Linked DNA regions of Ovis aries. The protein of the gene in region 1 binds, or shares a complex with, the protein of each later gene. Links are inferred from orthologs where the notes say so. Each region holds a gene or a part of one and is shown in the gene's direction. Other genes may lie near its edges.

Region 1 (4,444 bases):
CTTGATCTGGGGTCTGTCTCTTCTGTTAATAACTGCTAAAGCTTCTCCAGTATTCCTCACATTTCTAGTTCTTGCGACTAATTGCCTCCAACATGGGCTGTTCGTGGTTTCAAAGAAAAGAGATATCGGTCTCTTCCCAGCCCCGCATCCCAAGCCTGGGTGGTAAAAATGCCCATCGGTTCATCCATGTTCGGCCGGGAATCAGCCAAGATAGAACACATAGGACTGTCAGCTGAGAAAGCTGTCAAAGCACGAGGGATCCCTGAAGTGTCTCGATAGGTCTCAGCTCAGCTGAGCAGCTGTGAGCAACATAGAGCCTCTGCTGTCACCTGCTGTCCCAAAGGTCTCAGCAGAGGACACCACATGTACGAAGGGGCTGGAGGAGCTTGCTGGCACCACAAAGCCTCACAGAAAGCCCAGAGCCCTGGCCAGGCCCCCATCTCTAACCCCATCTCCCACCGTTGGCCCCTCATTCATTCCTACTTCTAACTATTCCTCAAACAGGCCAAGTTCATTCCCATGCAGGGCCTTTGCTCTTGCTGTGACCTCTGCCCAAAAGACTGCTCCTCCTGCCTAGAAGCAGCTTTCCCCAGTTGTCCCAAGCCTTCCTGCTCCTTGTCATCCAGCTCTCCAATCTTGGTCCCTTCCTGTGAGAGGCCTTTCCTGACCATCCCATCTAAATGAGCAACACCCCCCCCCACACACACACACACACACACAATCCATCATTCCTCTCCATTATATCTTCCTGCTTGACTTCCTCTGTGGTGCTTTACACATCTGAAATGATCTTGTTCATTATTTGCTTATATGCTTAGAGAAGTACCTGGCAAGCGGAAGGCACTCAGTGAACATGTGCTGAATGAATGGACGAATGCATAAACGAATGAATGGAAAATCTTACTAAGTGTTTTCTATATTAAGGATCCGAGCACCTACAGCCAGGGCACCCCCTCCTTTCAGTTACCAGGGGCAGAGACCACAAGAAATAACCCTGTGGTTGGTAACAACTTAACAACCAGCCAGCAGTTATATCCACACACATTGCTGGGCATGGTTCCAAAGCTAAAAGGCACTAATTGCTTTTATATAAGGAGGTAGAAACACAGTCCCTCCGTGTCCTTTAGTCCTGATGCTCTGCATGTCGGTGTCTGTCGCCGTGTTCATCGCTCCTGTCTCACACAGCCAGTTTGAGCTTTATTCTGCCTATGTCTGGGACGGTGACAGGTTCCTAGACAGAGGAGAGAGGAACTGTGTCCCTGTATGTGTGTGTCCACGTGTGTGTGCACGTGTGCAGAAAAGCAGTGACGCTCTGGGAAGGGTTAACTCGCAACCAGGCTGCCTGTGCTCAGGGCCCTACGGCTGGCCCAGGAATGGGGTGGGCCTGGAAGGTGGAGCGGGCTTGATTCACATCAGCTGCTCTTTCCAAGACAGGAGTGCAAATGCCTGCCCAGCTGGCCTGAGCGTGCTGAACTCCAGTCGCCTTTAAGAATGGTTGCAGGAGCCCACACCTGGCAATCACTCCCCCTACCCCCCTGCCTCTCCACAGCAGGTTGCATCTGGGAGACTATCCGGTCAGTCATTAGAGGAATGAGCCGAGAGTGAGCCGTTCACCAGCTTGCCAGCACTTGGTGGAAAGCAGCAGGCAAGCATGGAAGTGGTTGACAGCCTTCTCATGAATGAAAGCAACCTGACTCCCCCCTGTGAACTGGGGATCGAAAATGAGACGCTTTTCTGCTTGGATCAGCCCCGTCCTTCCAAAGGTAGGTGTCAGAGGCTGTTATCTGAATTCAGAAAACCTTAAGTTTGTGGGAAAAATCAGCAAAGGCAAGGCTGACTGTGAAAACAGAACACAGTCCTAATGAGACGAAGCTGGATAAAGTCATCTGCTCAGAAGTTTGGATGAGAGATCTAAAAGCAGAACTGAGTCCAGTGCTCTTGTTGTTCCCCATGGGAGAGTTGGGATTAATGTATAGGACTTGGGGGGCACAAAAGCAGCGGGAGGAGGAGCTGAAGTGGAGCCAGAGGGAGTACAAGTGTAAAAGCTGGAACTTACAGCATCGCAGAAAAGGCGCTGTCACAGTCTAGCTGTCGCCTTTCCTTGGGGGAAATCAGTGTGAAGAAGTGATTAAATCGAAATAATGCTTAGCAGCTAGGAAAGAAAGCAAATCACTGGAGGAGCTTTGTTCTTAAGAAAAAGTGGTTCCCCAAGTGAGTGATCCGTTAACAGACCAGCCTTTCAGAAGCAACTGAATCACTCTGTGCTCTCCTTGCTTTGTTTCTGCAAAATATCTAAGTATGGGGAGAGCTGGGTTCGGTGATGCACACCCCTGAAAATACAAACCGGCGGGAAATAAGTGTTCACTTGGTGTGCTAGGGTTTTAACATTCTGCCCTCACCACCTGCATCTCTCCGTCTTGTCCGGGTTCCTCCTTGCAGAGTGGCAGCCGGCCGTGCAGATTCTCTTATATTCCTTGATATTCCTGCTCAGCGTGCTGGGAAACACACTGGTCATTACGGTGCTGATTAGGAACAAGAGAATGAGAACAGTCACCAACATTTTCCTCCTCTCCCTGGCTGTCAGCGATCTCATGCTTTGTCTATTCTGCATGCCATTCAACCTCATCCCCAACCTGCTCAAGGATTTCATCTTCGGGAGCGCTGTTTGCAAGACCACCACCTACTTCATGGGTGAGTTGCTGCTGGTGCCTATTTCTGGAGTTTCACCCTTAATCAGTGAAACTCAGTCCCAGACCTTCCCTAACCCCTGACAGCCTCCACAGAGAAGCCCTGATGGGTGTACAGAACAAAACATCTGACTGTATGGGGCTGGGTACAAGGACAGAGGAGCTGGCTTTATGGGAGGGTCAGTCCTCATAACGCCCCAGAAGTCAGTCCCCAGTCTTAGGGGACCAGTTCCTCAAAGTGGAATAAGTTGGTAAGAAACTACAGAAGACACTGGTTTTGCTTGCTTCTGTTAGAAAGACAGACAGATTCAAGCTGATCTGTGCCTTCCTGGAAGGCATTGATTGTACTCTGAGCTCTACCCAACCCAAGGCATGGTTTTTGGGGTGACCAGACTGCTGGAAGAAGGCTTTTTCTGCTACCATTCTGGCGCTTATAGGGAACAGGGTTATTCAAAATCCAGTTTCACCAGAGGTCTAGATTCCCTTCTCAGGATTCACTTTCCAGCCTGTTTTCACAGAGGCTGGGACCATCTTAGGCAGAAAGAGAGAGAGAACCTCTACCACAAATACAACAAGTTGAATTTGCTGCCAGTGCCTAGGTGGATAAGCTGACCCTGATTGACTGAGATATGCAGCTCGCTGCCTTTGCCAATCAGAATGATGGTGATGATGAAAAATCATAAGAGCTAATGTCTTTGAGTACATTTTTTTTTGAGTACCAGATGTTCTACTAATTGCTTTAAGTTTTTACTTCCATGATCATATTTTATCTCACAACCACTCTATGAAGTATACACAGTTATTCTTCCCTGTCTCACTGAGAGGGGAACAGAGGCATAGAGAGGTTAATAATGTGCCCAAGGACACACAGGTGGTAAGCCACAGAGCTGACTTGAACCCCAATTGGTGGCCACTACAATGGCGAGTAAATACACAGCCTCATTTTGCCAACTGCTGTGGCTCATCTGAGGCTGAAACAAGGCATTTCTCTGGGCCCCTCCACCTGCCAAAATGCTTCCTCTCTTGCCCATTCTGAGAGCTGGTTGCGGGACGGGGAGAAGAGGTGGGAAATGAAGAAGGAGTTGGTTGTTCTGACCTAAGCCCTGCAAAATACGCAGAGCTGAGCTGCCTAGGGCAGCCTTCAGTGACCAGAAAGCTTCAAAAGCCTTTATTTCTTCCAACTGAGGAAGCAGGATCCAGCGCTGACAAAACGATGATGAATGGCTGATCTACATGCCATGGACAAATAACCGAGAAAGTGTCAGGCTGGGTCCAAGTACTCGAAAAAGAAAAATGGACTCACAAACGAAAAGGATTGTTGTTAAACAATGACGCAATAATAATAACCAACATCTCACAGTGCCTCAGGCTTTCAAGGGCTGTCTGTATATATCCTACGGTAATATTTAATCATTTTAACCAGGGTTTATGAAAGGAGATTAAAAATGAGTCCTTGTGTAGTTGCACAATATCAGTGTGCTAAATGCAGCAGTTGTTCACTTTAAAATGATTAATTTTATGTTATATGAATTTTACCTCAATTAAAAAAATGTTTTAAAATAGCTGGGGTCTGAGGCTAGGAACCTTAACACTCTTTCTGAAAATACCCAGTACAGACTGTTCTAGAAAATGAGAAGCAAGATACTTCTAAAAGTGTTTGCAATACTATAATGGTTTTGTTGGATTTCTGATTCCAGTCATTTCAATTCTCCCCTAATTTCATGTTCTTAACAATTAACACGCATTAAATTCCTAAT
Region 2 (4,480 bases), on another chromosome or scaffold:
ACCATCACCACCAGCAGTAGCCTTAGGGAAATCGTTAGAAAGGCAAGTTTCTGGGCCCCACCTCAGACCTACTGAATCAGAAACTCTGGGAGGTGTTTGAGCAAGCCCCTTAGGTGATTATGCTCCATAACAACTTCATGTTCTCAGACATGCCTTGACCACAGTCACAAATAAAACTAGTTTCACCAAGTGAACTTACACAGTAGCCTCCTTGGGAAAACCACTGGGAAGCATCTAATCTGCAACTCTGTTTCAAAAATGTTGCCTTTAGATTGCAGAAATGCAGCAGCCTCTAGAGTTTAAAAAGGGGGACAGCAACCACAGGCATCTCCCCACCAAGTGTCAGGCTCCCCACCCACTTCAACACCACAGTCTCACCATCCCAGGAGCTGAGTACAGATTCTGATTTGAAAGAATCAGGTCCAAATCTTTCTCCAGGAAGGGAAAAGGCGGGAGGGGCGGGTGGCTACCCTCAAGTCTCAGCCTGCTGAGACTCCAGGAAACTGTGGAGAAGCCTTGGCCAGTTGCTGCTTCTGTTGGCTCCCCGGTTGCTGAAATGGGGTTGTCAGTAATTTTGCAGCACCGGGAGAACTGGAGCACTAACTAGATGACTCTAACCCAAAGGGCTTCAGGGCGGAGGTGAGTGTAGACCCCTATGGCGCACTGGCCGGGGGCGCGACCCCGCAGGGAAGGGCGCACAGCTGCCGCGGCGCCTCCCTTGTCCCCACTAGGGGGGTGAGTGACAAGAGCGAGGTCTTTATTTCAAAGACGGCGGGGACCGGCCCAAGTGTAAAAGCTGGGAAAGATGGAACTGGCGGATGCCGATGCCAGAGGGGAACGGCGATTGAGCGGCTTTTGAGGACACTCTCTGGTGCCGCTTGGCGACAGGAGCTGCGGGCGCCGCGGGCAGGAGGTAGCTCCGCTTGGAAGAAAACACAGCCCTTTCCCAAACTCCGGGCAAAGCCCAATAGCCTCATCCTCGTTTCACAGCTACGTAAAGCAGAGTCCGCGACACCCGCAGCCAGCCGTGGAGGAGCCCTTTCGCTGACCCAGGGACCCTTGCCCTCGGGATCCTGGGATCAAGGGGCTGAGAACAAAGTTTAAAAACCAGAGCAGCCTGGGATGCTCCAAGAGGGGCCGACATTTCCACCATCTCAGAATTACACTTTGCTGACACCCAGCGCTGTCTAGTGCCACCCCATCCTATCCCGGGTTTCCTTTCCCGCGCCTCTGGTCCCCAAAGCGAACTGTAGGCGCGCGGCGGCTTCTCCATCCCGCAGGAGAGTCCCATTCCTAGGTCTCCCACCCTGAAGACGGGGAGCTTCGCGCTGGAATGGGCAAGGCAGAGGGGGTGCACGGAGCTGGGGGAGGAAGTCCCCCCGACCGAGACGCGGCTGACGCCACCCACCCCGCCACCCACCCGGCTCCACAGGGCCATTGCCCCCCCCCCCCCCCCCCCCAGGCAGCCACCTCAATCTATTGTCGCCCCGGCGGCCGCCCTCGGAGCACGTGCCGCTACCCTCTGCGTCAGTACTGGGTAAACAGATGACTGGCCAACGACTCAGGCGGGGCTATTTAAGAGGCAGCCTCCTGCCCGCCTACCTTGAACTTGGCTCAGCTCCCCCGCTGCTCTGGCTGGACCGCGAAGCCGGCTGCGTCCTATTCCGAAGGTAGGTTCCCGGCTCTCGGGGATCCAAGTGTCCTCGAAGAATGATTCTTCACTTCTGTTCCCCTTCCATTTCATTTTACTGTTTACGGTGTCTTCTTTCCGACAGCTCGAAAGACATTTCTCCAAGTCACAAAGGACAGTGCGGGCTGGGTGGATAGAGCTGGTTTACAGACTTCTACTCGCTTGATTTGTTCTCCAGCGCAGGCAACGCTGGAGCATCTATTTGCTCGGGTTAGCCGGCAAATTGCGATTCGCTAGGTGTTACACAGCGGTCCAGTGTACTTTGCAATCTTTTCAAATATACTACCGAGAGGTTTTAAATTTAAATTCATTTTCTGAATGCTGCGGGAAAACTCAAGGTTTGAGGGATAGAACTATCCCAGTGTTTCATCTGCGCGGATCTAAAACGCAGCGGTGCTTGGCGGACGCCGGAGGACTGAGCGCAGATTTCTGATTTTTTTAAAAGCCTGCCTGTGTTTCACATAGTTGTTCTTGCCAATTCCCATTTGCACCTTGAGGAAACTTGAAAAATACGGCTTTTATGTATTGGTCTCATATTTCAAGCCGTGCTTCTCAGTGTTTCACCATTTATTTCCCTGGTTGAAGCGTCTTAGCTCTCTGGTAAGGTGCCTCTTTTCTAAAACCAAGGCTCTTATTTTTCCTACAGAGTCGTCCCTTTCGGATAATTTTCACCTGTCTTTAATCTCTTGTTTTTCCAGTTAGGAGAAGAGAGACGACGCTGTAACACTTCCTCAAACTAAAGGAAAACCGAAGACATTCCTTCTGCTAAACAGGGCAGAGGACAGGGTCTCTCTCCGTCCCCCACACCACTCCCGGGCCCCGGATTGCGGTTCACCCCAAAGAGGAACGCGGTGCGCCCGGACGCGCATGCTGGGGTCACCGGCTCCCTAGTGCTGGCACCTGCCTGGCGGATCCGGAGCCCCGCGCCTTTGGGCTGAGCCCCCTTCTCTGTACCTTGGGTGTCCGACCCTCCTCAAGAGCCCGCGGATGCCCCACCTTTTCGTTCACGTCCCCTTCCCTCTGCTCCCCGCAGCCATGAACCGCGGCGCGCGCCTGTGCTTGCTGATGGCGGTCCTGGCGGCGGGCGCCCTGGCGCAGCCGATGCCTCACGCGGACCCCACGGGCCCTCCGGCGCAGCAGGAGGAGGAGGCGCCCCGGAGGCAGCTGAGGGCGGTGCCGAGGGTGGACGACGAGTCCAGAGCACACCTGGGCGCGCTGCTGGCCAGGTACATCCAGCAGGCTCGGAAAGGTACGCAGGCCGCCTCTCTGTCCCTCCCTTCTGCCTCCAGGCCTGACCCTCTTCTCTGCCATCGGGCTGGTGAAGGTGGGTGACTCCTGGGGAGTGAAGGGTTACTTGGGCAACACGATAAGGTGAAAGGTCTTTAACTTTCTTTTCTCTGATTCTGCTTGCCCCAGACAGTGCAGTTTTCTGTACCTCCTTTGTAGCAAGCTGAGAGGGAAGGGGGCAGGACTTAACTTATTAAGAGAAGGCTTTCTTTAAACTTTTTGGCACTGTGTTGCTGTTTAGGTTCAACATATTGTAAAGATATTAAAAGATGATTACTGAGCGAATTACTAACTCAGAAAGAGTTTGCAGATCCAATAAACACCCTCTGCTGTAAATATAAAGGACCCAGGAGCTGCCCAGCTACTGCATTTGGAAACCCTCTAGCAGGCAATGGTCAGTTGCAAGAATACTTGAGAGCTGACAGCAACAGTCCAAGAAGTGACTGTGTGTTAATTTTCATGGAAGTATGTAGCAGGAAGAAAGAATCAGGAGCAGTTTTGAGTCCTCTTTGAGCAGCGGCTTAAGATGATGACCCAGCAAGAGATGTGTTTATTTTTACTTTGCTGTTGGAGACACAGACCCAAATGCGGCAAGAGCTAAACAAGTCACACTTTCCTCAGCATCAAAATCTTTCTCTAGGAATAAAGTAATTCAGCAACTCAGTAGCTGAGTGGCATACAGACAGCCCTGTCCCTGTCCTGGGCCTGACTGTCTCATCTGTAAAGAGGGTATGAGGTGGGGTTCCCCTTGGCTCCTTCTAGCTCTTCATGAGACTCAGGGGGAGGCTCATTCAACTCTGGGGTCCTTAGAAATCATGATTTGAACTGGGACAGATTTTTTTTTTCCTATCAACTTTATCTAAAGTGACACTAATGGTGAAGCTGTGTTTTAAATTGGACCAATATGGCTGGATGATAAACCAGCAAATACTGCTGGGAGAGGTGGGAGGTGGGCTCCTTTCCCACAAGGCTCTCTTAACATTAATTGCTGGGGTTCTGGGGCCTGGATTTGAACTTTAACTTGTGGCTTGATGAAATGGGGAGAAAATAGAGGGTTTGGCTCTCCAGAGTCTCCTACAATTCCATAGGAAAGTGAGAAGGGACATTTTTGACCAGGACAATTCAGAAGGGAAAAAAATAGAAGACGATGCATTACATTTCATCCTCTTATTGGGGGATTGTCCCAACTACCATCTTCTATTTTGCTTTCCTCCTAATTATATTGAAAGATGTGGAAATATTAGACAGACGACAGAGAATGTCTGAAAATTTGGAGGTTCCTGCTGACTGTCTGTGTGAAAGTAGTTTAAAATCTGTCCTTGGATATGGGTTGAATATCCTAGGTTTTTCATTGACCATAATCTGGAAGCCCCTTCCTACCTTCAGGAAAGATCCTCCAGAAACTGTTCTGGGAAAGAAGCCAGTTACCAAATGATTTCCCCAGAACTGACACTTCACAGTGACTTCATACCACAACTCTTAGCTGGAAGGGCCTTCCTGCTG

Evidence for each region.
Region 2: the proteins of CCKAR (region 1) and CCK are in contact, whole or in part, in a cryo-EM structure (PDB 7MBX), measured with the Homo sapiens proteins. The link is inferred for Ovis aries from reciprocal best matches to the Homo sapiens genes CCKAR and CCK. Residues at the interface, in NP_000721.1 of Homo sapiens: Cys94, Phe97, Asn98, Pro101, Asn102, Lys105, Asp106, Phe107, Thr118, Met121, Gly122, Val125, Tyr176, Phe185, Asn194, Met195, Cys196, Arg197, Phe198, His210, Leu213, Leu217, Ile329, Phe330, Ala332, Asn333, Arg336, Ala343, Glu344, Leu347; in NP_000720.1 of Homo sapiens: Asp96, Tyr97, Met98, Gly99, Trp100, Met101, Asp102, Phe103.

What each region holds. Positions count from the first base shown.
Region 1 is NC_056059.1:46,499,055-46,503,498, reverse strand, and holds the start of CCKAR (cholecystokinin receptor type A), read left to right. Parts: upstream 1-1,623; 5' UTR 1,624-1,651; coding exon 1,652-1,763; intron 1,764-2,439; coding exon 2,440-2,691; intron 2,692-4,444. UniProt on the Homo sapiens protein: Receptor for cholecystokinin. Mediates pancreatic growth and enzyme secretion, smooth muscle contraction of the gall bladder and stomach. Has a 1000-fold higher affinity for CCK rather than for gastrin.
Region 2 is NC_056072.1:14,569,864-14,574,343, reverse strand, and holds the start of CCK (cholecystokinin), read left to right. Parts: upstream 1-1,605; 5' UTR 1,606-1,670; intron 1,671-2,723; 5' UTR 2,724-2,725; coding exon 2,726-2,939; intron 2,940-4,480. UniProt on the Homo sapiens protein: This peptide hormone induces gall bladder contraction and the release of pancreatic enzymes in the gut. Its function in the brain is not clear.